Linked DNA regions of Xenopus tropicalis. The protein of the gene in region 2 purifies or fractionates together with the protein of the main gene of each other region. This does not show direct contact. Links are inferred from orthologs where the notes say so. Each region holds a gene or a part of one and is shown on either strand. Other genes may lie near its edges.

What was found.
Region 1: the proteins of nek1 (region 2) and cfap410 purify together in Homo sapiens (affinity purification with mass spectrometry; 3 studies listed by BioGRID and IntAct, with this or other methods). This does not show direct contact. The link is inferred for Xenopus tropicalis from reciprocal best matches to the Homo sapiens genes NEK1 and CFAP410.

Annotation. Positions count from the first base shown.
Region 1 is NC_030685.2:48,521,833-48,538,398, forward strand, and holds the end of cfap410 (cilia and flagella associated protein 410), read right to left. Parts: intron 13,968-16,566; coding exon of another isoform or gene 13,932-13,967; coding exon 13,921-13,931; intron 11,652-13,920; coding exon 11,422-11,651; intron 8,370-11,421; coding exon 8,198-8,369; intron 5,305-8,197; coding exon 5,208-5,304; intron 1,843-5,207; coding exon 1,714-1,842; 3' UTR 1,248-1,713; downstream 1-1,247. UniProt on the Homo sapiens protein: Plays a role in cilia formation and/or maintenance. Plays a role in the regulation of cell morphology and cytoskeletal organization. Involved in DNA damage repair.
Region 2 is NC_030677.2:50,028,990-50,045,555, reverse strand, and holds part of nek1 (serine/threonine-protein kinase Nek1), read right to left. Parts: intron 16,494-16,566; coding exon 16,424-16,493; intron 15,848-16,423; coding exon 15,690-15,847; intron 14,363-15,689; coding exon 14,303-14,362; intron 14,085-14,302; coding exon 14,019-14,084; intron 12,261-14,018; coding exon 12,213-12,260; intron 10,807-12,212; coding exon 10,732-10,806; intron 10,292-10,731; coding exon 10,113-10,291; intron 10,027-10,112; coding exon 9,904-10,026; intron 9,040-9,903; coding exon 8,937-9,039; intron 5,189-8,936; coding exon of another isoform or gene 5,105-5,188; intron 3,286-5,104; coding exon 3,202-3,285; intron 1,751-3,201; coding exon 1,673-1,750; intron 1,507-1,672; coding exon 1,411-1,506; intron 1-1,410. UniProt on the Homo sapiens protein: Phosphorylates serines and threonines, but also appears to possess tyrosine kinase activity. Involved in DNA damage checkpoint control and for proper DNA damage repair.

The DNA.
Region 1 (16,566 bases), on a different chromosome or scaffold from region 2:
CCAAAATGTCTAATTCTAAATTTTGGCATATAAACAGAAAAATAAATGACAATCCTAGAATTACAACAGGCATGAAACATAAGTTACTGCTATTCAAGGCTACTGTAAAGAAATGTAGAAAATAAAACTGCAAAATAATGTATAACTCAAACCTGATGTAGTAAGACATGATAAGAGATGAACATTGTGGACTAAACAATACAATAAAACCCTTCTAATATACAAAATATTCAGTACCAAGAATGTTATTGTACTATTAGGAAAAAAACAGTTACCTCTGGACCTCCCAAAAGATTCCTTGCCAAAAGCTAGCTAACTTGCACATACATACCGGTACATACATACTGCAAATGATAAAAGTTGTATTTACCACTGAACAATTTTAAAGTAGATAGGAGGAAACAGAAAAATCCTCTGCAGTCACTCATAAATATAATGGGGACATTAATACATTTTATGCATAAAACCTAAAAATATTCTCTTCTTTTACTCAAAAAAGGGATTGTTTGTGAAAATATTGTAATATATTCAAGCTGGACAACTGCCACATTAAATTGCCCCCCCATACATTTACCTGGGTTCTCATGTTCTCTCTTGAGGAGAACATTAACTGGTATCCCATACCAGCTAATGCCCACACCTAGGCATTTGTTTGGCTGTTATTCAGGCTTAGAACAATGGGGGCTTAAATGGCCTGTTACATAAATAAATAAAAATACTATAAAAGCATTTACAAATGATTTTCACCTAAGCAAGCAATGAATATTGAAAACCTAATATGGCATTTACTGAGATCTAAACATCCTCCCACAGGTCCAATAAAGAATAGCAGTCTACAGCAGGTTAGAAGAGCTTATTTCACATTTTCAAAAATATGTAGATTACCAGTCCTGGCCTCAAGTGCTGGCACTGGCATCTGACACAACCACTCCAAACTGTGCTGTTCATCTGCCTTTGTATGGCATAGGGCATGAGCAATGCACTGGGCCGCTGAAGCAATCCTTTCCTGATCAATCTGTACAGACACCTAGGGGCTGATTTACTAACCCACGAATCCGACCCGAATTGGAAAAGTTCCGACTTGAAAACGAACATTTTGCGACTTTTTTTTAAGTAAATCAGCCCCCTACTGTTGGCCCAGGGACCAAATCATCATGTCAGCCCTCTGCCTGTGTCACCAAACCAGCAGATGGTCAACTTTAGTTTGTACTGTGAAGCGCACCATTTATAGAAAATGCAATATAGTATTTTTGTTTGAAAAAATAGATTTACTGAAATTTTACGAATATGTACCACTGAACACAAAATACTGAGTATGGCTTCATTTACACAAGAGAATACACATGAACAGCACTAAACACATTACATTCAAAAAAAATGTTAAACATACGGGACAAACAAATGCATCATGTAGTTAAATATTTTAATTTTTGGTGTTACCGATTGTTTAAGGGAACCATATTTTTTCAATTTTCTCTCAACTCAATTACATTTACATTTTTTTTTCAGCATTCTGACAATAAAGATGGCATTGTACATACTTATGGCATGATTATAGAAAAAGTAGACCCATGTATAGGTAATGCCTAGGCATCTCTGAAGTAAGTATTTGGTGGATTTACTTTGTAAGGTTGTTATACTTTGAAGGGAGAAAACACAGTAAGTTGCATGACGTCCATCTTGTATGTGCACTTTTAGTTTTGACATAATGCCTTATGTTTCCTGCTGGAGCTCTTTCTTTTTTAACTGGTGAAGTCTCTGTCCGGCAGTTCTCTGAACAATTTCCAGTCCTTCAGTGTCCAGGTCTTTCAGCAGTAATAAGACTGCATTAAGAATGTTGTTCTAAATGAAAGACAATAAAATAAAACATTCAATAAATCAATGAATCCTTATCTCCCAATTCAGTTTCAAATTCTAATAGACCTATTGTGCATTCATGAAAAAGTGAGAAAAGTTTCTCACTGAATTGTGGCCCATAGTTGGCTACTGTGTGGTCCATGGTTGTCTGACAATGATGCAAGTACAGAAATGGGACCTATTATCCAAAATGCAAGGGCCTTGGGGTTTTCTGGATAAGGGTTCGTTCTGTAATTTGGATCTCCATGATTTAAACATTTATTATTCTTTTGCCTCCAATAAGGATTACTTATTACTTAGGTGGGATAAAGTGCAAGGTACTGTTTTATAAATGCAGAGAAAAACGAAATCATTATTAAAAAATAATTTTTTTTCTTGTGGCCCTCCCATCCAAACTTTCTGGATAACTGGTTTCTGGATAATAGATCCCATACCTGTACTCGTACTCTAAGTTTAACCCAGTACTTTACTCCAGGTTTTATCTAAAATTAACACCATCCCTTATGGCTTATATTCTAACAAATGCACTCTTAGACTGTAAGCTATAAGGGCAGGGAACTCCAGTACCTTTTAACATGTTGCATTTAATCTTTGTAACTGTGTATATTTATTGTTATGTTTATCCCTGTCTGTGCTGTTAATATTCTGAAGAAAAAAAAAAAAGTACAGTAATGAATATACTTATGAATATAGCTGTACTGTGTGCACACACATCAATATTAGAGTTAGTTTCTTACAAGCAATTTAACTTGCTTTAACCAGAAGTTGCAAGATTATCATTCCAGGGTTTGCCACCCTATGGCGCTGGCCCTCTAGGGGAATCTGGGGAAAAACCTCTTATTAAAACAAAGTTGCGATTTGAGAGAAAGGCTAAATTGCTAATAAAGAGTTTTTTTTCTAGGCTAAGAGGCCTAGAAAGGGGCTTAAAATAAAAAAGTATTGAGATATAGCTGTTTATTATAAACCAGGGGTTCCCAACCTTTCTTAGTCGTGTAGTAAATAAGACATTTGTGGAAACGAGTTTGTTCGATTTTAAAATTTTAAAAAATTAGAGAAGTTTTTGTTTCAAAAACAGACATACGTTGAGTCAACAAAGACTGACATTTTATTTAAAGCACAGACTGGGACATATGCTTTTCAACTGAAAACACATAAGAACAATGGCTGTCAAAATGATATAAAATTATTACTGTTCTTAATTTATTCACGTAAGAAATAAATGTAAGCGTATTAGGTGTATTAGCAAGCAACAAAGAGGGTCAGCAAGGTATTATCCTGCATTAAACTATATTTGGCAGCAGATGAGAACATTTTGGGAAAAGGAGCAAGGATATTGACCACAGACACACGAAAGGAAACATGGTGAAGGCCACCTAAAACAGAAGGTAATAGCACAGATACAACCTAATTGTTAGGATCCAGACCAGGTAAAAATTAGCTTGTAGGACTTAAAGGAATAGTAACACCAATATTTTACATTAAAAATATACCTTCCTAACATATTAACATATGCAATTGCAATTAACATATGAAATTGCAATATTGTAAATGGTTTATAACAACATTACCATTCATGTACAGGGCAAAGCAGAAAAAAAAGTGATGTGGTGATTGCTTGACTTCCTGTTCAAACCGAAAGTTAGTTTCCTGCATTCCCTAGAGTGTCCAGAGTCGGCTTGTGAGTGATTAATTGTTTTTTTTGTGACGGTTCAGGGACAGGGATGGGGGAGTTTTTCTTCTTCTTCTATCCTCTTATCTATCTATGATAATGATATTTATTCAAAATGAACTTATAATATTCAAATTTTTGAATGCTATTAAGTGTTTTAAAAGAGATATTTTGAATGTAAAATATGTTACAGGGTAACATCTTAAAGCCTGAAGTAGAGATGTATATACTATAAACTTGAAAGCTTGCAATTTTTATTTACTCGGCCTTACCTTACATTTTCAGTTATTATTCTTGTAAGACTGGCAATGCACTAAAATGGCAGACATGGCTAGAGAAAAATCCAGCCCCAAAGAAGGTAAGTAGCTGTATTGTGAACTCTAAACTAAACACAGAAAGGAACTGTGCTAAAATGAGAATTTAATCTCAACAAGTGCTGCAGAGAATGGGAAACTAAAGCAGTGCCACCAGTGACTAAACAGCTTTATAGAAAAGGTTTTTCAACAGTAAGTTGTATAAAGTCTCATCTGTATCACACAGAACACTGTTTCTGAACAAAGGAGAACAGCAAGGAAATCTGTAATTGCTACAGGACATAAGCTGTGGCTTGTTGCAGGTGAACTAATAAGGTAGGTAATTAACACAGTCTCTGCCTTTAATTCAATTTGACAAGGCTCTGTTTGGTGGTGCAAAATTTTTTTTGTATCAAATTTGCAGGAGCCTTTAAACTGAGGAGGAGCCCGCACTCCGGTTGGAGGAAACAATATATATATATATATATATATAATATATATATATATATATATATATATATATATATTTTTTTTTTTTTTTTTTTTTTTTTTTTTAAATACCCCTTTTACAACACTAGGCTGCCTGAACCAGGAGGGAGCTCCTGTGGTGGGCAGCCATGTTGTGGCACAGACATGCGCATTATGAGCAAATGTCACAACTCGTCATTATGCTCATGTGTGTGACGTAGGCGGGTGAGTCACATGCACCTCTCCTACCTCGCACTTATGGGCATAATGAGTGAGCAGGGAGCTTCGCTCATTATGCGCATGTGTGCTAAGTTATGTGGCCGCCCCCTCCCGGGCCTGGTGCCCTAACGCCTGCGGGGGCTGTTTTTTTTAAAAAAAATCTATAGTTTGCCCAAACCGGAGTGCAGGCTTTATTGTCATGGGTGCCCTTTATTAGCAGGTCATACACATAAGACAATGGTATGTTAAGGTCAGGTCATACACAAGACAATCTTATTTAAGCAAGTTGAAGACCATAGGATTCATTTGCAAACCCAAATGCAACGTGCAAAGTGCAAAAAAGGATGCAATTAGCTCTGCAGTTGGGGGGAGGCATGTAGGTGTCCTTTCTACCTTGTGCGTCACTCTGAGGTGCTAGGTAGGAGCAGCAGGACACACAGCCCACATTGGACCATGTCCTTAATTCATGCCAAAAGGCAGGACTGAACTGTGCTCTTCACAGAGTTCCAGATTTTTCAAGGGGGTCCCAAGTACTTAGGAAAAGAGTACTAAGGGCCAAGCTATTGCACGTGTGCTCTTGTTTTTTTCATATTTTAAATAAGGTAGCAATATTTCCTTAGTGTTTATGGAGCTGAAAAGAGCTATCCTAAAAAGTTTTTTATAAAACATTTGTTACACTCCTTATAAATTTTAGCACATACCCTTTTCTTTCTGCTACCATCTCCATCCGTTGGTGATGAGAAAGAAGAAAATTTGTCCCTGGGGAGCGGTTTCATGCCTAGTTGTTCCCGAATTTTGCTAAAAATTTAAGAAAAAGATGAAAATTATCTACAGTCCATATGGATCATAATTTTACAAACCTATAATAACTAAAGTGCACACACTTTATCAAATTTGGATTTTTAGCCATTTAGACTCATAGTAAATCTTGAAAAAGTCGCAGACTTTGCGAAAGTCTCTGCGACTTTTTCGGGGGAAAAAAATGAATCGAGTTTAAAATAAAAAATCACGCAAGTCACGTAAGACTAACCCCTCTATTGCAATTACGTATTGGCTGCACTCACAAAGAGAGGACTAACTTATTTCTCAGTTATATTTAAAAATACTTTAAAAATAAAAGCTATACGGAGAAAGTGCACAAAAAATAAAGAAAACTCCCACAAAACTACAGGATTTTATTTTTTTAATGTGAAAGGCAAACAGTGCTATACCACCTAATGCTGAAGTTCCCAGCAGTTTCACAAAGATCTGCAGTTTTCCTATTATATCTAAATTGTAAATTAGATCTGAATTGTAAATTATATCCTTATGAACGGTGCTTAGTGATGATCAGTTACAATCGGTGCTTAGTGATGTAATTTCTGTCACATGACTCACTAAAACTTGTATATTATAATAAATAATAAAAAAGTACCGCCTGTTGTAAAATATGAGGATATTAGAAGTCACTTCATAGTTTTATGACCTGTATAAAATGGTTATATGGTCATGGAACTCCTTGGTGACTGATAATATCCTTATATTTTACAACAGGGGGTACTTTATTCACTATATCAGTGCTGTCCAACTGGCGGCCCGCGGGCCGCATGCGGCCCGCGACCCCCCTCTGTGTGGCCCCCCACCTGTCTGGCTGCTTTGATGGCTTACCTTTGAGTAAGCATTAAATGGTATCAGTACTGAGATTAACTGGCCCCCTGCATGGTTCTCACTTCAGATTCAGGCTGTAATCCCTCTGCATTGTTTAAAAATGTAATCCCCTGTGTTTTTCACACCTTTTAGTTTCTGCATTGTTCAACCCCTGCAGTGTTCACACCTCAGGCTCAGACTGTAATCACTCCCATTGTTCACTTCTTCACACCTCAGACATAGGTACTGTAGGCAGAGTATGGCACATACAGCCAGCATAGGGCAGGTAGAGTATGGCACACACAGGCAGCATAGGTCAGGGAAGGTATGGCACACAGGAAGGGTAGGGCGGGCAGAGTATGGCACACACAGTCAGGGTAGGGCAGGCAGAGAATGGCACACACAGGCAGCATAGGGCAGGCAGAGTATGGCACACACAGGAAGGGTAGGGAAGGCAGAGTATGGCACACACAGTAAGGGTAGGGCAGGCAGAGTATGGCACACACAGGAAGGGTAGGGCAGGCAGAGTATGGCACACACAGTCAGGGTAGGGCAGGCAGAGTATGGCACACACAGGCAGGTTAGGACAGGCAGAGTATGGCACACACAGACAGCATAGGACAGGCAGAGTGATGCCTGTGTGTGCTATACTCTGCTTGCCCTATGCTGCTTGTGGGAGGTGAACCTGGCAGGGGTTTGTTGTGGGAGTTTGTTAGCAGTTGGAAATAGCCATTAAATTGTCCCAAAGGTGTGTAATTATGTACTGGGGGTTGCTCTGCTATCCACAGGGGAGGAGGAGGCATATGGAATTTAAGGGTATATCTTAATATGACATAATTCTATCACATATGAATGATGGTTGATATCCCCACAGTAAGGACCAAGCATTTGGGATTTTGCTGTGCTACCACCATTGTGATAAAATGGGTGTGGTTTGAAGTGGGTGTGGTTTCAAAAAGGGGAGTGGTCAAAACTGGCTTCCATTAGCGGCCCTCCACCATGTATGCTAGAGAAATTTCGGCCCTCGGCACCGTAGAAGTTGGACAGCACTGCACTATATAATATACAGTTTGGTCATTTCCCTATGGGACCAAACTGTAAATTATATCCTTTTAAATGGTGCTTAGTGATGATATCAGTTATAATCGGGGCTTAGTGATGTAACTTCTGTCACATGACTCACTAATACTTGTATATTATAATAAATAAAGTACCACCTATGGCTTCGTGCTGGTCATGGAACTCCTCGGTGACTTATAATATCCCTAAATTTTACAATTGGGGGTAAAAATACTATATAGAGATCATTTAGAAAAATACATATAAAAATGTACGGGTCAAAATCAATTATAAACAAATTCAGTAATAAAAAACTGTGTTTAGAATGTAACATATCAGACTTTATTCTCATACTGTACTATCCTATGGCACAGATATACCTTCTAATAACTGAGATATACTTTTTCATCCAGCATCTACTTATACCCTGAGAGTATTACAGTACGCTTGGAGTCATAATTTTAGAAAAGAATGGAGGGCCGCAGGTTGTACATATAGCATTATAAATCTTTACTTGGTGGCAGACAATCAGAACTTTGAAAACATATAATTTACAGGATATTTTTGTATAATTGTACAGTACAGTAGCACCATGGTTAGCACTGATGCACCAAAAACGCTCCAAAATGGCCTGCTCATAAAACCACAGTGATTTTTATAGTGGCCTTAGATTGTAAGCGCCACTGTGGCAGGAATGTTGAACAATCTGTGCAAAACTCTGCAGAAGCATGTTGGTGATGCATAAGTAAAGCATAATTATAATACTCAAGTATTATCAGTGTATAACTCTGAACTGGCACTGCAAGAAATGTTTCTGTTCCTCTTTGTTGCAAAGGCTTCCTTTGGGGACTCCAGTTCCCCTCAAACCCCAAAAACACACTGTGCAGGCACTGGTTCCAGCCCAAAGTCACCCTACTTTGTGTACAGGAATTTAAATAAACAAAGTATAGTAAAAATAATCCTTTGGAAATCTAACTGAATAAACCCAATCCAATCAAATTCTTACTTGGTTTCTTCCATGCTAAAGTTTAGCAAATCATTTTCTGACTCTCTGGTACCATAGTTACGGTCTATAGATGTCTCATCATGACTGTTGTCTGAATTTGATATTTTTGTTTGGGGGCCTGTCAGTTCTTCACCATCTGTAAGGGCTTGAGTAAGTTCCTCCTCTGTCACCACTATTGAAAGAAGTAACAAAAAAATAATACTGAATATTAAAAATTACTTTGTATAGTCTCTATTTTCTTGAACAAACAGCGTTGGAATTCAGGAGAAGCTGCACTGTACCTTTTAGGTATGTCACATAGTCAGCCCGCCCAAAACACCTTTAAATTCCATTGTTACCTAAAGAGAAAATGTACTGAGTCTTAAAGGAACAGTAACACCAAAAAATGAAAGTGTTTTAAAGTAATTGAAATATAACGTACTGTGGCCCTGCACTGGTAAATCTGGGGTGTTTGCTTCAGGAACACCACTATAGTTTATATAAATAAGCTGCTGTGTAGCCATGGGGGCAGCCATTGAAGCTGGAAAAAAGGCACAGGTTACATAGCAGATAACAGATAAGACACCATTGTATTCTACACGGTTTATGTTAAAATATAAAAATAAAAAATATCCACTGGAGAGCCAAATGCGTTCTGTGTTGTTTATTAGTTTAGAGATGCATAGCACGCACTACATGTTTCGGACCTCTGGGGTCCTTCCTCTGGTGCAGTATAAAGAACACTAGGTGAACACCTTTTTAAACCCCCACTCCACCAATTAAGTCATGTGATAAGGATACCAGCTCCATCTAGTGGCCAGGTATAACAATTACATAAACAGAGCAATTAATGGAAATTACCGCAGGGTCTATCCACATAACACCACAAAAATATATAGTATCTTTATGTATCCAAAACGTTACTCATACAATCTGGTAGTTCAGTCCATTGTAAAGGTAGGAAGCAGTATAGGCCTCAATCTGCAAAAATATTTTTAAGGGGTTATTAGCTTGACAATGTATAGTCCTGTGGTTTACAGAAAACATTTGAGACTCCAAGCCTCATTCATTCCCCTTGGTTCAATAGTATTAAGAGACTCAATCCATTTCGCTTCAAGTCTCAATAGCATGGCTTTTCTGTCCCCCCCTCTTGTAGGCATAGCAACCTGCTGGAGGACCATCCAGCTTAGAGTGGTTACATTATGTCTTTCATTAAAAAAATGTCTGCCCAACGGTGTGTGTGTCTTTTTCTTATTAGGATTAGCTGCTATATAACCTGTGCCTTTTCTTCTTTTAAATGGCTGCCCCCATGGCTACACACCAGGGTTTATATAAACTCTAGTAGCGTTTCTGAAGCAAACACAAAACTTTTACCAGTGCAGGGCAGCAGTACATTATAGTTTAATTTCTTTAAAATATATACATTTTTTGGTGTTACTGTTCCTTTAAGTGTGACTGTAAGACCCTACAATTGTTATAGATCACTTTTAATTATCCCCTTAATATGCATTTGTGCACTACAGTTACATGCATTTTTAATGGAGCACTGTATAAAAATATATCATAATTTAGAACAACTATCCACCATTTGTGACAACAAAACGTTACATGGACATATTTCTAACAGTACAGAGTACTTAATATTGCAAGTAAAAATGTATCAAGCTTTGCTTTTTTTTTTTTTGTACTTTTCCTGTCATGAAAGACATTGACTGTAAAAATTATAAAAATTTCATTAAAACAAATTTATTAATTGTATATAGCCTATCAAGTAATCCTAACCCTTAAAAACAATGATGGACAGCCAAGTGACATCTGTAAGGTATTGAGTCTAAGCGACAATTCACCATATTTTATGTAGATTGCATATAAATATAAAATAATGACAAATCAGTTAATCTTTATAGTGAAATAAGAGGAAGATTAAACTGTATTAATAGTAATAATAGAACTAATTATAACAGGTATAGGATCCGTTATCTAGAAACCCGTTACCCAGAAAGCTCTGAATTACAGGAAGGCCATCTCCAATACACTCCATCAAATAATTAAAATGTTTAAATACAATTTTCCTTTTTCATTAATAATACAACAGAACTTGATCCCAACTAAAATATCATGAATCCTTATCGGGTGCAAAACAATCCTATTGGGGTTATTTAATGATAAAACGATTTTTTGTAGAATAATAATAGAACGGAGATCCAAATTACTGAAAGAAAATTCCAGGTCCCGAGCATTCTGGATAATAGGTCCCATACCTGTATTAATATGAAAACTATAACATACCTGCAAATAACAACATGGCACAGTCAGATTTTTCTTTTCATTTGGTTCACCAAGTATTAATTTCCAGTCATTATTAGTTAGGGCTCTCACACATTCAAGTGTTTTGTCATGTGTTCCCTTGCGGTGGCTTTTTTATGCGTTCACTGCAAGGGAACACATGAGTTAACACAGCCTATTCTTTCCTATAGAGACCATAGTCAACTTGCTACATCCGTGAAGCACAGTAAGTATAGACAATATAGAAAAAAAGGGGCCTACATATACTCATGTTCCCATGCAGGACAAAATCGCTTGCAAAAGCGCTTATAAGACAAAGGCAGAACCAAGGCATATTCCTAATGTTAAATAAACAGGCCTCTATATCTGGAAAATAAAATTAATGTAAATTAACCTTTAAATGCCAGTTTTAACAAGGGGTCCTATATGTTCCAAACTGTTGCTATAATATTTGTGCCAATGATTTAATAAAGGCTGTTTTAAAGAAGACCAAAGGAATGTTGGTATATAATTCGCCAAAAACCACCTACTATGTTCTCTACATGTTTTAATGTCCTAATGGCATGCTACCGGAACTTTTGATTGTCAAACTGGCCTCGCCATGTAAACAACCCAATATGAACCATAAACTCATTTCTTTTATATTAAGTTCCCAGGTGTGAAATAGCAAGAAATGTCAGACGAGCAGTGAAAAACATTTTTGGGATTAATATTATACATAATGATGAAGAGACTGAAATAAATTTTACAGAGATGTAAACAGAAAAGTAATAAAAATCCTGTCTTCATCCAAGAGTTTCAGCAGCGATGAAAGACTTCTGCAGGCTGTAAGCAAAGAGGTTAGTTCTCTACACTTCTCAAATTTGAAAATAATAATAATAACCACAATTCTGTAATGAAACTGCTTTACTGCGTTAAAGTATGGTTCCTTAATGGAGATATGTTATTTTTAGCATTACCTTGATTGTCGAGTTTTTGAAGATTTGGAAGGTTTCGAAGAACTGTCATTCTATACTTCTGAGGGTCAGCACCACAACAGGGGTTTTCCGATAACCATAAAATCTTTAGCCTGGGAAGCTCTTTTAGGTAGTACAGTTCATTTAAACTGGAAATATTATTCTTCCGTAGATACAACTCCGCAAGGTTATGGCAGTATCTTATTGGTTCCAGGGTTGATATGTTATTTACACTGTGAAAAATACAATTACAAACTGAGCTGAAATATTTGTAAATTAGAATTAATGAGCATAGTTCTTCATTAACTACCACTATGAAATAAACAGCATATCAGTCACAGGGAGGCAGATTTATAAAAATTTGAATTTGAGTTTATTTTAATTCTAAAAAATTCAACTTGAAAATCTCAATTGTGTTGTTATTTATGAAACCAACTTCAAACTCAAATCTCCTTTGCCCAAAAATGTGAAAAAAAACACAAACGCAGTGAAATCACATTCTACACTTTCAAATTAATCTTGAATACTTGAATGAAAAAATATCTTGAATTTTGAAAATACAGCCCCCATTAACTTTAACATTCGCCAGCTTTTAGATGCTTGATTTTTTAAAGAAAAGTGTAACACAGATTTAACAACCCTTGTAGTATTGTTCTACAAATAAAGCAATTAAAGTTGCCTTCCATCAAGAGTTACTTGAGAAAAAGAAATTACACTGTTAGCTAGAATGGTCTCTGTTTCCAAGTAACCATGTAGGCAAACCACCAATATTGGATATAATACAAATAAAGAAGGGTGCATCATTTCACACAAAAAAATTATAATGCAACTTTTAATTAAAAAGTGCCAGATGACAATATGACTGCTTTACAGATAAGCTCTGGAGGGGCTCTGGCTTTTAATGTCCAGGATGTGACCAATGTTACTTGGGGAACTTACAAAACAGACTACCGTTTAGCCATAACCATGCACAAAATAATCCATCAACTGACAATTGTCATTAAAGGGGCCATGCCTTTTTTACAGCCTCTTTGAAAATTGAACTTATGACGTTTCTTTGCATGACCTAAGTAGTGGGAAATATCCCAAACTTAATCCAGTGTATGGCACTGGCATTCCTAATCTGATTTAGGGTCAAGAGAGAAAGATAATTTTGATCTCAATCACATATGGGACTGAGAAAGAACTTTAGATACGGGATTTACAACAAAAATTATCAGAACATGGGTTAGTCAGTAAGCAATTATGGCTGAATCTCCCTCCTGATCTTTTTTCTTCCATATTCTTCAGATCACAGAAAAGGAAGGGAAATCATAGGTGAATCTCCAGCATTATTGCTGCAAGAGACTTGCATCAGGACCATAAAGAAATTTGAAATAGAAGACATGATACTTACTTTGTATCAGCTACTGTTAAAGAATAAGTAAACTTTTTTTTTTCTATTAATAAAATTACTCTAAACAGCTTCCCAGATTGTCTGCCTTTGTCCCTCTGTTCTTTCTTACCTGGTTGCTGAGTTACATTCTGTTCTATTCCACTCCTTCTTTGTTAAGAGTGAAGCTCCGCCCCCACTTCCTGTTCAGGTCTCTCACTATACTGACAACTTGTCGGAGTGGAGAGCCCCTTCTGCGCATGCCTGGAGGCAGCAGGAGCCAGCCTGTGTATGAGCAGGGGGTTTTTTTTCCAGGAGGGTGGGGGCTTCTGCTCCTTCTGAAGACACGGTGGATTAAGGTAGTCTTATATTAAAAATTAAGGTAGTGTAAAGTGTAGAGAATAGTAGTCTAAGGCTAAATATATGATTTGTTTTTTTTAACATTTACATCTCCTTTAAGTTAATTTGTGGTACACCAAACATTTTTCTATTATTTGGAACACCAAAGGATTCAGGCTCCACATGTCAGAGTTTAGGCATATTTGCCTAGCCTAGAACATATAGGCTACTAACCCTAATATATTGTGTTCTGCCTAAATCACGATAAATGTTAATTCTTGACACTTTTAAAGCCTATTTGTTTCTGTACATAAACCACAGTTGTGTTTTTGGTGGATTGGACCCATTTAGTGACAGTTGCTGAGAAGAGGCAAAAAGTTGGATGCACTTTGGATGGGAAAGAATACAAGTTCCCTTGACCTGAATGCAGCAGCTGAAAAAACTATCCCCCAGTCTGAGATTAGGAAAGCTATTTTTTGGAGAACCCCCCCCCCCACCAAATAATGAATATAAATGAAGCCCTATTAAAGAGTTGATCAGAATTTGTCCATCTATAACACTAAAAGTAAAGGTGAATTTCAACTTAATAAGGTCTACATAGCTTACACAGGATACAGCAGTATTAGAGCCATAAAACTTCCCACCCTTCATTCCTCCTCTTTAAAAAAAAAAGTAAATATCTGAAAAAGTCTCAATGTAAAAAAAACATTTACAGCACATAAAATATTATTTTTTCTGTATATTGTTTTCCAACCAAAAATGCATTCTGCTAAAAACCTTTTTCTACTTACCTTAATGTCATAACCTCAATGTTGGGAAGCTCATGACATACAGAGATCTTAAAGAAACAAATAATATATTACAAATGTTTATATACAGTCTATATACTTATATATATGACACATATAATCTAAAAGCTTGTCACATGTTATAAAAATTAAAATGAAACGTTAACATGTATAAATAATTAAATAGCATAAAGTCAAATATTATGGGCAGCCCAATAGAGCAATAGGTTACAGACTTGCGCATTGGGCCCTAGCCAGAGTACTATCTTCAAGGATACATATGAAGTCTGTGTGGATTTTCTCAAGGGTACTTCAAAAAAAATAAAAACAACAGGCAATATTAACTGGCTCCTGATAAGTCAGTAGGTGTAGGTGTGAATGAGATAGGCATACACTGTAATTTTCACCCATAGAAATTATATATAATATCAGTAATCTCGTGTGTGTAATGGGTTCTTACAGGCCCCTACTGTTGCAGGGGCTGCTTCCCACTGGTTACACCACTGGATACATTCCCATATTCTATGATTTTCTTTATTTGTTGGATGGATTTTTGCATACATGCTGTAAATACACTTTTGCCTGGAGTAGGGAGGGTATGTCCCAGTATTCTAATTATAGCAGTGCTTTTATTCATAATATATAAGTATTACCCACCATATTTGTATTTTCAAGTTATAAACCTTAAGTGGTTTAGAGTTGCATGTTCGTTTTTCTTTTATATGCTTGGGATAAGGGTTCAAATGTGTTTATTAAAATTAGACTGTTGGAATAATGGTCAGTACAGACAGTCTTGTACTGTGGCTTGCACTTGTAGCAGAACAATAAAACAATAGAGAAGAAAGTATGGTCTTTTATTCCTGCAATCCGTTCCTCAACTGCAGCACCACAGACTGTTGCAAAATAATAGCATCAAAAGAGGGGTGTAAAAGGAACAAAAGCAGATTGGGTCAAAACACTGTGCTTCTGGCATGATGCCACTTCTGGTTTTCTGCTGGTAAAATAATTTAGAATCCTTTCCCTTGTCACCATTATTTTACTTTGTGGCAATGATCCATCCACAATTCCTTTGCAGGATTATCCCAGATTATAGCGCTTTCCAGTCTACATATGTATTTATCATAATCATTTTAACAGAAAGGGTTGCAAACTATGTTCAATTCTGCTGTATTAAAAGATTGCATTTTGTGAATCCCTACTCTTCTGTAGGGTTCTCTTTATCAGATTAACACCCCTCAAATTATTCTTTACCTTTTTAATTCCCTAAAATTGCAATCCCTGGAGAATCTTTTTTTTTTTTTTTTTAAACTTATATTTATCAATTTCCTTCTGACCTTGCATTTTGTTAGTTGGGATGTGATATTGAACCAGTTTTTCTTCTAAATGCCTTTCTATATATATATAATATCTGGCTTAGCTGGTAAAACACCTTTCAAAATGTCATTTGGACGTAAAATGGGTACTAATGGGTACAAAAGCTCATCCTCTCATGCTCATTTAAAAACCACCTGCGTCTGGGGTCTGATTGCATTGTGCACCTAGCAAATTTATGGTGGGGGAAAAGCAGCCCTGTGCCTATGGAACATACAGTATACAGTGGATATAAAAAGTCTACACACCCCTGGTAAAATGTCAGGTTCCAGTGCTGTACAAAAATGAGACAAAGATAAATCATTTCAGAACTTTTTCCACCTTTAATGTGACCTATAAACTGTACCATTCAATTGTAAAACAAACTGAAATCTTTTAGGTGGAGGGAAGAAAACCAAAAAAACTAAAATAATATAATTGCATAAGCGTGCACACCCTCTTCTAACTGGGAATGTAGCTGTGTTTAGAATTAAGCAATCACATTCAAAATCATGTTAAATAGGAGTCAGCATACACCTGCCATCATTTAAAGTGCCTCTGATTAACTCCGAAGTTCAGCTGCTCTAGTTGGTCTTTCCTGACATTTTTTTAGCCGCATCCCACAGCAAAAGCCATGGTCCAGAGAGAGCTTCCAAAGCATCAGAGGGATCTCATTGTTAAAAGATATCAGTCAGGAGAAGGGTAGAAAAGAATTTCCAAGGCATTAGATATACCATGGAACACAGTGAAGACAGTCATCATCAAGTGGAGAAAATATGGCACAACAGTGACATTACCATAATTGGCGCAAAAACAATACTGCACATCACCAAAAGAACACCATACCCACAGTGAAGCATGGTGGTGGCAGCATCATGCTTTGTGGCTGTTTTTCTTCAGCTGGAACTGGGGCCTTAGTTAAGATAGAGGGAATTATGAACAGTTCCAAATACCAGTCAATATTGGCACAAAACCTTCAGGCTTCTGCTAGAAAGCTGAACATGAGGAGGAACTTCATCTTTCAGAATGACAACGACCCAAAGCATACATCCAAATCGACAAAGGAATGGCTTCACCAGAAGTGAAGAAGATTAAAGTTTTGGAATGGCCCAGCCAGAGCCCAGACATGAATCCGATTGAAAATCTGTGGGTTGATCTGAAGAGGGCTGTGCCCAGGAGATGCCCTCGCAATCTACAGATTTGGAGTGTTTCTGCAAAGAAGAGTGGGCAAATCTTGCAAAGTCAAAATGTGCCGTGCTGATAGACTCATACCCAAAAAGACTGAGTGCTGTAATAAAA
Region 2 (16,566 bases):
CTTTTACCATACAGACAAATGTTCTGGGGTATTAGTAGAATCTTTAGGGATGGATTTAATTGTGTACAGTATATGTAAATTGCAAAAAAAAAAACAAAGTGTTGTAGTTATCAATGTTTGAATTTGATCTTTTGTTCTGCGATTCGAGTTTTTGCTCTAAAACTCACAACATTTGAATTTTGGTTGAAAAACTCAAATGTGTGATATTTATTACATGCAAAACCCCCTGAAAACTCAAATGTAAAACTTTGTGAGTTCATGTAGAAGTCAATGAGAGTTGCAAAGTCAAGCCATATGTTCAATTCTAGATTTTCAAGTAGTAAACTTTGACATATTCAAGTTTTTTTTATTAATGCAGAAGGAAAGGTATGATTCACTGGGGGTTATTTTAATAACTTACCTGATACCTGAAGACTGAAGGAAGAGGATCACTCGCTCACAGGTACCCCAGGCTGGTGCAGTTTTCTGCCAACAGGAGCAGCAGACCGGGGTACTTGTGAGTGATACTCTTCCTTCAGTCTTCGCGCCACTTGCGCATGAAAAAGTTTTTTCACTTTTTTTCACTTTTTCACTGAACTGCGCATGCAGTGCAAACCCCGATCTTCACTATTCAACTTGATTGTGGATGTTGTAAAGAATTTTTGTTAACACAAAGATTTTGTAGATGTTTTAAAATGTGCGCAAATTGACTCCAAACGGCTCTAAAGGTAAATGCTAATTCATACACCTGTTCCTATTATAACTATTACTATGGATATATGGATTTTTTGTAATGAAACTTTTTTTCTGTATATTAAGTCCCAGTGTATGTGGCAGTATAGCAGTACCCTTTGTTCTCAGGCTAATTCACTTTATTAATTAATTCACCTTCTGCAAAAACCAGTAAAGTTATAGGACCCGTTATCCAGAATGCTCGGGACCTGGGGTATTCCGGATGAGGGGTCACTCCATAATTAGGATCTCCATACTTTAAGTCTACTAAAAAATCAATAAAACCTTAATTAAACCCAATAGGATTGTTTTGCATCCAGTAAGGATTATTTATATCTTACTTGAGATCAATTACAAGGTACTATTTTATTACTACAGAGAAAAAGGATATCCGTTTTAAAATTCTGAATTATTTGATTAAAATTGAGTCTATGGGAGATGGCCTTTCCCGTAATTCGGAGCTTTCTGGATAACAGATTTCCGGACAAGGGATCCCATACCTGTACAAATTATTGTTCCCCCAATGCACCTGCACTGAATGAGAGTTAATTACAGGGCTCCTTTTCAGCCATTTATAAAGGGCACACAATTTCAAGTAAAGAATAATAAATAAAAAAATAATTTATAATTATGAACACAATGATTTAATAGTTTTTAGATATTTTTGTAATCAATCTAGCAGGCATGTTTACCACTTACATGCTCTTCCCATAGTCTCTTCTCTCTTTTATCTGCTTCTCTTCTCTTTCTCTCAAGTTCTTCTTTTATTAAAGCAGCTCGTGCATTTGCTTGAGCCTGCAGAAGTAGGACAATTTTACTGATTAATGAGGGGCAAACAGAGAAATAAAAGTTTGCATAATGAAAGCTAATCCAGAAGCTCATAACGAATAAAATAAACACTAATTGAGCCTTTCCTGCAGTATTTAGAGGTGCAGAGGCTTCTGGTTTTATTTCTACTTACCTTCAAAGCTTCAATTTTCTTTCTTCTTAGTTCAGCGTCTTCACTGCTTTCCTTACCATCTGCGTCACCTTCATCCCCCTGGGATAGAGGCAGATTATACAAATCTTCATGATTATTTAACATATCACAAGGATTTTGTTTAGTAATGATCATGCTCACTCTGCCCACATATTGAATCAGATCTAATCTTAAACTTCGTTTCGTACGATATTCAGTGCGTGTATGGCAAGTCGGCCAATATCGCAGGAGGCTGCTGATATCGGTCGACTCGCAGATCGGGCGGGTTAAAAGATTTTGATCGGGCGCCATAGAAGGCGCCTGAGCAAAATCTGCCTTCAGGGCTGAATCGGCAGAAGGAGGTAAAAATCCTATTGTTTCTACCTCCTTATCTGCCTTTTCAGCCCTGAACGGTTAGTGGCCGATTGAACGATCTTTCGTGCGACCGATGGTCGCACGGAAGATCGCAAATCGCCATGTGTGTGGCCACCTTAAGACATTTTTCTTAATCTGTACAGCTGTCCCCTTTAAAGGGGCTCATATCATTTGCTGGGGGGTCAGGCTAAAGGAAACATAATGTAAGACTTGAGAATGACTTTTTTATGCTCCTAGATGGAAGATTTAAACTATGAGGTGAGACTGTCGAGGTTGAGGTTGTTTTCTCTGGAAAAGAGGCGCTTGCGAGGGGACATGATTACTCTGTACAAGTACATTAGAGGGGATTATAGGCAGATGGGGGATGTTCTTTTTTCCCATAAAAACAATCAACGCACCAGAGGTCACCCCTTTAGATTAGAGGAACGGAGCTTCCATTTGAAGCAGCGTAGGTGGTTTTTCACGGTGAGGGCAGTGAGGTTGGGGAATGCCCTTCCTAGTGATGTGGTAATGGCAGATTCTGTTAATGCCTATAAGAGGGGCCTGGATGAGTTCTTGAACAATCAAAATATCCAAGGCTATTGTGATACTAATATCTACAGTTAGTACTAGTGGTTGTATTTATAGTTTATGTATGTGAGTGTATCGATTGGTAGGTGTGGGTTAGGTGTGCTGGGTTTACTTGGATGGGTTGAACTTGATGGACACTGGTCTTTTTTCAACCCTATGTAACTATGTAACTAGACTGCTGAAAGTCCATCTTAGAAGTCAATTAAGCCTTAAAAGGGCTCTTCAAGAGTAAAAGTCCAAAAAGCACTGCTCTAAGGGCTTTAGCACACAGAGTACTTTGATCAATGCTACAAGTCACAGAATCAAACATGCTGTGTGCCACTTCCCTAAAACTGCAGGAGAACAAAAAGCCACTTTAAAATAATGGAACTAATGCTCTGTGCTTTATTCTTCAGAAGACAAGGAAACAGGCCCAGCCTGTTTTATGTGTCACTGCATTAAGGAACAAAACTACAGCACAGATGTGGTAGAACAGTAGCCATGATCAACCCGTAGAGCAATAAGTTTGGCAAGTAAATAATCATACAGTTTTATATTTCTGTTATTTTCTATTAACCTTTTTTATAGCAGAGATTTTTACTACTTGCCTTTGCCCCTCTCAGCTTGGCTTTTATTTGTTGTCGCTCATTAAAATTCTGGAGTCTGATTTGTCTAAGTCTTGCTAAATACTCCTAAAATGCAAAGAAAAGAAAAGGGAACACAAATACACATTGTATTGTCTTCATCTTAAAGTTTGTACAGTGGAGCATAGAATTCTTCCACATTAACCGAACACAGGAGTGGCAACAGATTTCAGTGGGTTTTAGATCAATGACGAATGGGACTGTTGGATCAAGACAATTTAGAAATTTAATCGGGAGAGTGGCTGTTGACTGCTGTCAGTGTGGAAATCCTCTGGTATAGGGCTAAAAGAAGGACACATACCAGTGTAGGAAATGAATGGTTGCCACTGTATGATCGCCAGGATTTTGAACAAGGGAAACTGAAGCAATCCAACAACTTTGTGTGCCAATAGACAATAAGTAGGTTCAGCACAAGCACATAGAACTCATGCTAAACACGGAGGCATAGTGCCCCTTTAAAAAAAGGTAATTAATTTACACTGAGTTAATGTTAAAAGGCAAAGCCTTGAACTCCTTCCACATTTTCTGATCTATTCACACAATTATTCATTCAAATGCAGAATGAAATACCAATAAGAACTCTATAAAACAGGAAATGGCACAAAAAGAAAATGCTGACATGTAAAAGAAAAAACAAAACTTTATGAAAATTGATGTAACTATATAAGCTGAGGTTTCTTCAAGAGTATGATAATTAGGCAAAAACAATTACAGCAATTCATTGCTGCAGACTGCCAGCCCTATATGGCACCCACTGGTCATATCATTGAGTGCAAAACTCCTTTGGGACTGAATGTAATGATCAGAATTCCTTTAAGGAACAGTAACACCAAAAAATGAATGTGATTAACCTTTTGTGAGCCACACTTAGATGTAAAAAGTGTTGGTGAACCTTAGAAGCAAGAAAAAAGTTCTCTGGGGATGCCAAATAAGGGCTGTGATTGGCTGTTTGGTAGGCCCATGTGGACTGCTGTCCTGCAGGAGGGTCTGCTTGGAGTGAGACTACGTCTTTGTGCTTCCAAAACTTGCCTCCAAGCCAGAAAATGGGCCCCTACTGAGGCCACTGAGAGCAACAACAAAGGGGGTGGTGAGCAGCATGTTGCTCCCGAGCCACTAGTTGGGGATCAAAAGCCCAGAGAGCCATTTGATTGCAGGAGCTGACTTACTTGACAAGAGAAATGGCGATGAATGGGTTGTCTGGTTTGCCTTCTCTTGGATCAACATAATAAAGCTTTAACATACTTAATGATTAGTTACCATTGTAATTAGGTATAATGTCTGAGGAAAAGTCACGAAGCAACAGGATGGTTGTAGGTTTGGCATAGAAAGATGCACTTTATAAAGACTGTCCATGTGTTAAGTTATAATGGGTACCACAGGTAAATAACCATGTTATCACACAGGATGATAACTGCAGAAACAAATTAGCTGAGTAAAGCTTTATCCACAGAAAAGCCAAACAAGGATACAAGAAATGCAAAGTAGCAAAGCATGGCAGACTTTAACAAATCTCTTTGCACACAACAGGGGCTCACAACGCATTAATCGGATAACAGAAAGACCACAAAACCATTCAGACACTGAGATGCTAGCAAACAATAAACACATGAAAAATGAAAAACATACAACAAATAGCATGATATGGCAAACAGCAGATAGGCAAAGAAGATTCTTGCACATTCCTGATCCATTAAGGATTAAATTGGTTAGCCTTTTCAGCCTCCAGCAGTGATGTGTTAAATAAATTTTGGACTCCTCCAAAGCTTTCCACAATATTTGTTAGGCAAAACATTTGGGGAGCATGCACAAGGATACGGTGGTGTCAGGTAATGGGGCAGTGAGGGGGCGCAGGCATGCTGAAGCCTACCTTTTCTTCTCTGTTGCGTGCCTTGCCTCCTCCTGCAGAATTTGGCCTGCCTCCACAGATAGCTGCCAGGTTGTGCACTGCGTCCTGTTCACCATTCAATGCATCACATGTAAGAATGGCAGGAGCTACAGCCCTTTTGAAATCATCTATGTTACTGCTCATCCCTTTCCTCATTCCCCTTGTAATCCTCTGTCTTAAACCCCAAAAATTAGTAATTTCCAATGACCTATAAAGCCGAACAGTGAACTCAGTTATCTTTACTCTAAAGAGTAGAAATGTGTATGTGAGCTTGCTCTTTCCAAATCAGCACTTAGCAATCCAAATGAGGAGAAAGCACTAAGAGCATCTGTTAGTGGAAAGTATTTTGCTTATGGCTCAAGGCAAAGCTATTGCAGACATGTATTAAAGTAACTATACAAGAAGCACTTGAAATGATTATTAGTGGTTCCTACTGCTGGATCACAACACTTCCTCAAGGTAGATTGGGGCAATCCAACAGCCCTATGTGCCACTGGCCCGTTGGTTGCTCTTCACAAGTCAGCACAGGTAGAACAGCAACATATGGAATTTGGTAATCCATAAAAATGGAAAAAGTTTAAACTTCAAAATTATTCAAGCATTTAAAATTGTGTTGCACTATCATGGGAGGGTTGGATTAGTTAATCCTTCTATTCAAATGGATGTGCTTGGAGGATCAAAACCTCTTGGATATAATAAGGACAGATTCATTTCAGATTGTGAACATATTTAATTGATTCTTGCAAGGATCCTAGGAATCCGAACCCTACCATATAAATAGGGTTTAGAATGGAATGGGAATTGAAAGAGATGTTCTAGAAAAATGCTGCACAGTTTAGATTTATCATGTATTTATAAAGAGCCAACATATTCCACAGCACAGGTTTTCCATTCTAAGTGATCAATAATGACGTCACATTTTGATGTGGAAGAAATTAGCATGGAAACCCCAAAATACTGACAATTGCTCAATTTGCTTGGTAGTGATTGTAAATAATGACCTGATTGCTGAGCGGCTATGTAAAGAAATTTGGCAAAGCCAACCTATCATACTAAAGTGCAGCAATAAATGAAAGGCAGGGTCAAGACCACTGATCTACTATCGATTTTTGCTGCCTGAGCAAAGCTTGTGTAAATGTTCAGTGGTTTTATCTGTAACCTCCATATGTTTAAACCCAGAATTCCAATGCTGTGAGTCTCCTTGCTAAACTAAACACAAAACCATAGATTAATGCAATGAATTATTTTAGCAAAGCCAGCAAGAAAGAGTGAGTTAATGGCAATGAATTATAAGCTGCACCACCTCGCTGCATCTGGCATTGGGTTTTCAGGACACACACACACCCACACACATAAACAAAGACTTTAATAAATGGTATGGTTTTTTACGTGATAAAATAATTTATATTGCCGGATCTAACACAGGGGAATTATATTTGGCTTGAATAAGGCTAATTAATGTCCAGAAAAATGCACAAGGAATGATTGCAACATATTGTAAACCTAGGCTAAAGTTGGTATAGATATTAGAAGTTAGAAGATGGTCTCCAAAATACACCTTGTTCTAATTCAAACATGTCCTACGAGTTCTGCAGTCTTTTGATATTTCTAGCATGCAAGTCTGAATTTAATGCTATAATTTAATATAGCAATTATCATTGTATGTGCTTTATATTTAATAACAAGCATGACAGCAAGTTCCATGGAAGGTACTTTGTAATGTGTGGCTCATTTAAGTGCATACCATACAACATGTATATAAGTGTGCAGCGTAAAATGTACTTTGTACTGGATACCAACTATAGCACAGTAGAATGTATGATTATATGTACAGTAGTTTATAATGTGTATAATGTATTACACCACAGGATGTACATTTCATGTGACTTACTGTACTCTGCTATCCAACAGATTAATAACATCATTCCACACAAAAGATACCAAAAATGAAAAACTGTTACATTATGCTGCTTACAGCCATTGATAGCTGATATAAGCATCCACTATATGAATCTTTTGCAACTTTTACATGTGTGCCAACCACAGCCAAGCAAAAGTGAATTGCCAACATACTGCAAGCTGAAACTGAATGAATGCCGAAATTCCTGTATTGTGAATCAATGCATTTGATAAATCATTGGGACACCTAAGGCTAGTGGCGCATTCTATGTTCTTTGGATTTCAGTGCTAAAATGAATCATGTTATACACCAAAATCTGTCCAGTTTGTGTCCCAACAGGCCGATACTGTGCCAGTCAATGCATGCAGAACACAGCGTGGAATACAGCAGATCTGCCTTTTCTCTGCCTGTCTGTGGAAATCAGCTAAGTTTTGTTTTCACATCTAAAAAAACCACCCCCGAATCACCATAACTCCTCAAACCATAACTACGGTGTCTTTGTCACAGAGACAGGTATTTGTCTTATTGGATTGCCAAGCCAAAACATAAGAAAAGGGTCTCCTGTTTCCCCATGATATTATTTATTAAATTCTTGATTTTTTTGTCCCTTCCATAACTGTTGAGCACAGGGACATGAGACTGAAAGATCTGACATAAAGCCACCCATTCAATTTATACAATTACTCACTATGCTCATCTGAACACTTATGGAATTTAGATTGCTTTTTTTTTTTTGTAGATGATGACAGTTAGTACACTGCTAATATCATAGGTGTGTGAGGCTAATGCCACATGGGAATGATTCTCCGATAAATGCATGCCAAAAATCAGCCCCTATGTTGGCATCAGCATCATTAACAGGAATGCCCCCTGCTGTTTTGTTGGAGCAAAAGTTCAAGTTACTAAAGCGGGAAGCATTTCCTTATGCTTCTCTGCACAACTTCTATAGCTCTGGTCATACTGAGTGAGAGAACTGAGCAGAAATCCATCAAGATACATTTCCTGCATCAGCAGATTAAAGGACCCATGCAGTTTAAAAGTGCAAAAAGGTTCAAAAGTGCTCTGAAGAGCATGTTGAACAATTTTACATTGTTTTGTGGGTGGGCATATGTCCTAATTCTCTCTGCCAGAGGTGCTTTTGTGATGATAGATGTAGGGTTCTCTCGTCTACTATGAGGCACAAAATTATTACACAGAGCACCAGGTAAGCTTGCTTTCATGGGAGCTCAATTTTTAATGACCTTGGTTATTTAATACTAAATGATGATAAAAGAGATAAAGAAGCTTCCTGAAATATACAAAACAAATTATACTGGCTCAAACCCTTCTTTATGTTTTCTATAACCCTATTGGTGCTGAGCAGGGTAACAGGATATAACACATAGGAAGATCAGTGTAAATGGTAACTCCCCAACCTTTACCCATGAGCCACATTCATATGTCAAAAAGGTTGGAGAGAATCATAAGCATGCAAAAATTTCCTGAGGGTGCCAAATATGGGATGTGATTGGCTTTTGGTAGCCCCTTTTTAGCCTGGCAGCCTACAAGAGGATGTGGCAATAAACATTTTTTTTTATCTTTTTTTGCAACTAAAGCTTGCCCTCAAGACAGAAATTAAAAAACGAGCACAGGCACTGAGGCCACTGGGAGCAACATCCAAGGGGTTGGTGAGCCACTGGTTGGGGATTACTGCCCTAGACAAAGATCATTGGGGACCATACAGGCCTATAAGGAAAGCATTCAAGACAGGAGACAAGGGGCAGAAACTACTTAGTGGGTTATCTCTATCACATTGAAAAACGAAAAGCTGCATTGTGGGTAAAAAACATAGTAACTTGCATCTGAATTTTGCTCTTTCGCTGCCTTTGCAAATGAGCCCTATAAAAGAAAAGTGTAAACATGCTGTTTCCCTACCATATGTCCCTCTGCTCGAGCCTTATTTTGCATTGCTTCATGCTTCCGTTGCAAAAACTCTTCAACCTGTCTTGCCTTTTCTGCAGAAACGTGTCCTTGAATCCTAAAGACAGAAAACATGACATAAATTGTCATTATTGTTATAGTTATTTTGCAAGACAATGTAATTTATTACTTCCATCAGACACACTTTTAGGGAAACTTCCTGGAAGTGTTAAATTTGCAGTGGAGTTCACATATAAGTAGGTTTGTATACTGGGGCATGACTAAATAACATTTCTAAATGTGGCCTTGGTTCTTGTCCTTTTACGATCATGTATTTAAAATTGTCCTGTCTTCAGATGGATTTAAGTAGCCATAGGCTTTAGATGTTGCCTTGTCTCAGTTGTCTGGGTCTAGTCTGGGTATGACCCTTTTCCCTTTTTCTAAAAGAGGCTAGGAATGGAGGGGTATCAAAGCAATTAAAATTCTATAAAGTTTGGTAACTAGCTTCAATTGGTTGCTAAACCATAATGTATACTCATATCTAGCTGATCTGTAATTATTATTAATTGTTGCCAAAAAGCTTGTTTTAATTGCAGGTATTTAAATAATTTAGATGGTCTTCCTGGTAGTCTGGTCTTGATTTGGTCATAGTTTTTAAAGTTGCCTTCCTCTACCAGGTCTGCAAGATTCTGATTCCGACAGCAAGCCAATGTTCATATTGCAGTAACACTAAGTGGGAGGTGCCCCACAAAGGTAAATAAAGAGCAAACAGGAGTAGAGTCATGGTCCAGATCCACTATGTGCCATTTAGCACTAGGTGGTTGAAGTATAGACTGGACTACAATGCCATAGTTGTTTTTACATTACAATATAAAACAGAGTTATGCTACACAGAACCTTGTATAATGGATAACAAGAGAAAGAATGAAAAGGAGAAGATCTGCTTATCAACCTACAATACAAATTAGATATAAAAACCAACTTGTTGCCAATGGCTTGATTGTGTACTTCTTGCAGCCTCTTCAGTTCCCTTCTCACTGCATCACCATCTGGGAATGGAGAATGAGCTGAAGGACAATTTTCTTGTTCAGGATGCTTAGGAACTCTGTAGGCAACACAAATCTGTGAGAGATCCTTGTACTTGTCGAGAATTCAAACTATGCATTCAAACCAGCTAAAATCCATTCTTACCTGCTATAAGTGTCAGGATTTTGGATATCTGCCTTTAGTTTCACCTCTTTTTCCACTGCTGCTTTGATGTTTTCCTTCTGCTGCTGCATCTGATCAAAAATGGAATGGTAATGCTCATAGGGACCTCTACCCATGCCTTGTGGGGGTGCTACACCTCCCCCTCCACCAAAATAAGGTGCCTAAAACAATAGATGGTCAATAACATTATACTACATACTGGGTGTACTATATCAACACATACAGGCATTGTATTTAATACAACAAGCAGAGTTGTTTCATCAGTATCAATGGTATCTCTAACTACCAAGTCCTTCTGAGCTTGATTGCATTTTATATTGTTGGGCTCATCAGAGATAAGCCGATGGTGATCCTTACGGAAACAGACAAGATCCACCTTAATTTTCCAATAGTATTCTCAAAAAGAAAATAATGACACTTTTACTGAATGTAGTGTACATAAAAAATAAAAAAGTAGTGGCTTTTATCAGTTTGAAACAACAGGAATGTGAACTAAGGATTATATCCCAATGTCCCATTCCACTTGAATGAAATGTGAATCTTGTTTATAAGCACATATTTCATACGATTGACTTTATTTCAGGTATGAGTCCCCTCATACCTTAATATCTCCGCTTCCTCCTGAGCTGATTACATTTCTCCAGCCTTGCTCTCGTGCACGATTTATTCGCTCCAACTAGAAATAACAATATAGCGTCAGTGTTGCAGCCTGACATGTTTTTTTATTAGAACTAGTCTTATAAACAAGCAGTAAGATTCTGGAAATCTGGGAAAGTCTGCAAAAAAGTATATTCTTTACTAGGACAGTTCAGAGGAGCTGTGTAAGATAACTACAACCATATTTAGGAGCAGCTCATGATAAATACTGCCCACAGGATTAATGTTTAGCTGCAGTAACAATTTAGTTTAAAGGAAATGTAGCCGCTGTACTTTAGAACCAATACAATGGCACCTCAGCGCAACCAGACCAAAAACAGTTTGTCAATATTGCCTTTACTCTTCCAATAAACATTCAATGTCATGGATACTTTGGCTGCATGCATGAGATATGCAATACTATACTACAATGCTGCATAAGATGGGACAACAAAATCTTCTGTAGAGAATACTCTCTCAATATGTTCAAAGCTAAACTCAAACCCCTTGCAGCACTGGCATAAGATCTATTTTAATCTTAACACTTTTTAGTGTAAAAGAATATATTATATTTAGTTATTCATCTTTTATAATTATATTGTTCCCAGTAAGTTCCATTAATGTACTGCTTGTATATAACACAATTTGCTTAGGCAGTTTTGTACATTCGTACATATAGAAGATTGTATTTATGCAGCTTTCCTTCAGAAAAACTTGCAATTACTCTGCTGACATCTACTGGTCATGCAAATTTAGTGTATGAAAGGAATAATTATAGCTGAAGCTTAAGACGTTAAGTATATTTAGTAGTATCCAGCAAAATGGATACATGGTACATATTCCCACAGGATCATTGTTACAATACTGTAAGCAAGGTGTTGTCATATTTTGCACAAGTGGGATCTAGTATCCAGGATGCAAGGGACCTAGTGTTTTCCAGATAAGGGATCTTTCCGCAATATGAATCAACGTGCCTTAAGTCTGCTAAATAACAGTTAAGCATCCAGTAGTTTAGTTGGAATCAAGTACAAGGCAATTTACAAGGCAAGATTTATTATTACAAAGAAAAAGGAAAACGTTTCTCATTTTTCACACAAATTAGAATTATTTGCTTAACATGGGAGATGGCCTTCCTGTAATTTTGAGCTTTCTCGACAAATGTTCCAGATAAGGGTTCCCATATCTGTATATGAATTCTGTCTTGTATGTTTATGCCATGGGTATTCCCTATTTCTGTATGAAACTAAAGAAATAGAGGGAAGGATAGAGAAGAGTATGAAAAAAGAAGAGACAAGTAGACCAAAGAAGGTAAACAGAGGTAAGAACATTGTTTGGAGAGTTGGTCTAAGGTTTCCTGGCGGGCCAAACATGACCAAAGAGGATAAAAAATATAGACTTAGGGACAACAGGTACATTTAAGAACATTATGCATGTACATAATCTTACCCTTTCCTTTTCCAGTCTCCTCATCTGTTCGGCCCTTAGTAGATTAAACTAAAATGGCAATAACAGAAACAATCTTTTCAGTAAAGCATATTTTAAAAAGGGGGAACCATTAGAGTATCTGCATTAGGCAAGAGACCAAGGACTGCTTTAAACAGCAGAAATGTGTAGGGATAAATAAATTACTTCTGGCACCATAAAAGCATGGAGATAAGTTACTATGCATGCTAAGCTCTATAGATTTAACAGATTCTCTTCACTGAACTTCCAGTGCATATCCAGAGAACTACAATAAAGGCACAAAAATTATTAAATGGGACCTGTCACCCACAGATAAAAATCTGTATAATAAAAGCCCTCTTCAAACTAAAAATGAAACCAATTTTTTTGTTACAAGCACATCCATCAATACCTGTTATTAAGGTGCAGGTATAGGACCCATTATCCAGAATGCTCGGGACCAAGGGTATTCCGGATAAGGGGTCTTTCCATAATTTGGATCTCCATACCTTAAGTCTACTAAAAAATTAATAAAACATTAATTAAACCCAATAGGATTGTTTTGCCTCCAATAAGGATTATTTATATCTTAGTTGGGATCAATTACAAGGTTCTGTTTTATTTCTACATAAAAAAAGGAAATCAGTTTTAAAATTCTGAATTATTTGCTTATAATGAAGTCTATGGGAGACAGGCTTTCCGTAATTCGGAGCTTTCTGGATAATGGGTTTCCGGATAAGGGGTCCGATACCAGTATTTAAAAAGCGGTCAATATAATGCCTGCCCTGCCCCATCTCTATGCCTCAGACATGGGGACGGGGCTTACCCTTTCCATTTAGCATCACTGCATTCCTCACATCCCCCCCTCACTGCTGTGCATGGGCATTAGGTTCCCTATTCTAGTGAATACACATGATTTGGAGCCACTGCAAAGCTTGCCTTAATAAAAGTGTTCACAAAATGGCACCAGTCTATGTGCTCTAATTGTGAATTCCAAAACAATTAAGGAAACGAGATTTAAAGAATTTTTAGTGTCAGTAAAGTTTATTTTGCTACACAAACACAACAGAAGAGAGTTTGGAACTATTTCTTAGGGTGACAGGTCCCCTTTAAAGGAGGACTAAACCCTAAAAATGAATATGGCTAGACATGCCGTATTTTATATAATAAGCTTATTGAACCAGCCTAAAGATTCAACACCTCTATAGTAGTAATAATCCAGTCCTTTAAAGTCACAGGAGTGACCATAATGGACACTTCTGCTAGAAGTGTCTGCCACACTCACATACTGCTGATTCTCAGCAGCTGTTGAGAAGCTAAGGGGTCGTCTGAAATTATCAAGCAAAGAAAATGATGTTTGTTATTTAAGCTGATCCTAATGGGCTGATGATTAAAGTCTGATGCTAATAGCACTGGTTTCAGAGCTGCCATGCAGTAATCATCTGTGTTAATTACTAATCAGCCTAATATTGTGACATTTATATCCCATATATACATTATATTGTGCAGCTGCCCCTAAGCTCAGTAAGTGACAGCAGCACCGAGCTTGTGCAGTGAATCAGCAGAAAAGAAGATGGGGAGCTACTGGGGGCATCTTCGGGGACATAGATCTTTATTGCTAAAGGGCTGTGGTTGCCTTGGGCTGGTACAGAAGCACAAAACATAATTTACAACATTTCTAGCCTACGTCTTTAGTTAGGCTTTCATTCTCCTTTAAGAGTCACCAGAGATCAAGACAAAATAAGTTACCATTTCTTAATTGGAACATGTCAGCGTCCCTTAAAGCAAGTAGAGAGCCACAAATAATACCTGTTCCCGTTGTCTTTTTTCCTTCTCCAGTTGTCTAACATCCATCCTTTTTTTCTTGGCCCCGTCCTGCAAGAAATGCAATTCTAAATAACTCCTAGCAGCAATGTAAGTAAAGGTACTTCTTCCAACCCAACAGGTTAGTGGCGGCTGAGCCATGAAGTAGAAGTGACTGAAGGTTAAAGGGTGAGAACACTAAACAAGGAGGAAAGGTTTGAAGGTTTCCCTGCAGCTAATCTGTGTAGCTGACAGTTCTGAGACAGAAATATGGGCAACTTTCTGTATACCTCAAACATTTTCCTCCTTTCGTCTACAGGATTCACTTTCTTCAGTGGTACTGCTGGGGCCTGGACAAAGAGTGAAACTATACATTAGATTAGAATTCCAGATGTTCCCTGCATGAAGCTGCGCAATATGACAATTAGGAATCACTGGAATAATAAAAAATGGCACTGACAATGCTGCAAAAGTTCAATACAGTTTCACTGCTAAGAAAAAGTTAACAACCATCAGACTGCTGTGCTAGCATCAGTTTCATCCATTAAACAGTATCAAGGGAAACCAATAATTAAAACAAAATAAAAGTCAGTTTAGCACAGGGATTATTAAGCACCAATTCCAAAATGGTACCCAGAATGTTGCTACACTAAGGTGTCCAGATAGGGGCTCTATCTGTTGTTCGAGGACCAAGTAAACCATAAGCAGCTGTGTATTATATAATATATATATAAATGAGCAATAACTCCAAATACTTTGAACTGCACACAGTGCAGTAGTATAAATATTTTTTCTCCTCCTTAATTGGCCAATACTCAAATGAGGCAAGGGCAAGCACTGTATAATTAGACAACCATAACGGCAGTTTGGTTTTATGTATTTTCTACATAATTTGCCATTTTATTTGGATTACTCCAAAAAACACATTTAAAGTGCCCATACACGTGAAGATTCGCTCGCTTGGCGAGGTCGCCAAGCGAGCGGATCTTCACCCGATATCCCCACCTACGGGTGGCGATATCGGGGAACATGTAGGCTTATTCGATCGTTTGGCCCTGGGGCCAAACAATTGAATTATAATGGAGGCAATGGGGCAGTCGGTTCGGGGACCACATCAACGAGCTGATGTGGTCCCCGATCCAACTAAATCTTTTAACCTGCCCAATCAATATCTGCCCAATTTCAGGCCAGATATCAGTCAGGCATGCCCCTCATTTCTGCCCCTACACTGGCCGATAAGCTGCCGAATCGGTCCAATATATCAGATCGATATCGGCAGCTACAATCGGCCCGTGTATGGCCACCTTTAGGGTTTAGGGACATTTAAACATAAATTCTATTTAGACAATATTAAAATTAGTTGAGTGAGTGATTAAACCTGAATGGCACAAAAGCTGTGTTGGCAATCCAAAAGCAGGCCATACATTATAAGATGTACTTGTTTGTTGAGATTGCTAAATGAGTAGAACTTTGCCTGATTTTACCACCAACACAATAATCTGAATGATACATGTGCCCATAAACTGCCAACTCAGGGGCAGGCTTGCACAAGCCTGTCTTAGCAGAATGTAATGTGACAAACATGGAATAACCTGACTAAAGAATACTAGAAAGAGCTCCTGTTTGTTTACTAACAAGACATGGGTATATAGCCGTGCAAAGATATTACCAACTCACCTGTCTGTGTCTGATTTGGGGTTTCTTATCATGATGCTTCTTTGCAGCATCTGAAGATTTTTTTGTTGTTAAAGGCACTCCGTATTTAGCAGCAGGTTTAGTGATTTTGTGAGCAGGAGGGGAAGCAGGAACCACTTGTGCTGGAGTTGGTCTTTTGGCTGATTAAGTATAACAATAATGCAGCATGTTAAAATCAAAATTATGACAGTAAGGGCCAGATTTATGAACATTCAGATGGTCGTGGTTTTAGAGATTTTTTAAACCATAAATAAACTCATTGCCACTGAAACCACAAACAAATTAAAAAACAAATTGAAAAAGCACCAACGAACTAAACTGTGGAATAAAAATGAAAAGAACACGAAAACCACAAATTTTTTGTGGTTTTTACATTTTTCCACAAATATTCATGGACATACAAACCCCTCCTCCACCAAAAAAACCTCTCAAACCACAAATTAATAAAGATTGTTACAATTTGCCAACAACTGTTCTTATTGATTTGTTCGTGACCTCAACAGCTTTTAGATGGCAGGGTAAATGACTTATATCCTTTCTTCTAAATCACCACAGAAGAGTAACTTGTTACACACAGTAAGCATTCAACTTTTTTGGGAAAGTTGGAATGGCATTGAAATAAATGCTTCAAACCTCAGTTGGACGGTATGAATCAGCATATTAACATAATGAAGGATAATTGCAACACTCTGACCCAGCACAATGCATGTACTTGCCTGCTGCAGCTTGGATCCCAGGTTTGGGGTGATTCACAAAGGCTCCCAGGCCAAACTCTTCAGCAATATGCTGATTGCACATAGGGAAGTAGAAGATAAAAAAAAAAACACAACACTTTAAGTATATACAGTAAGAGGAAACT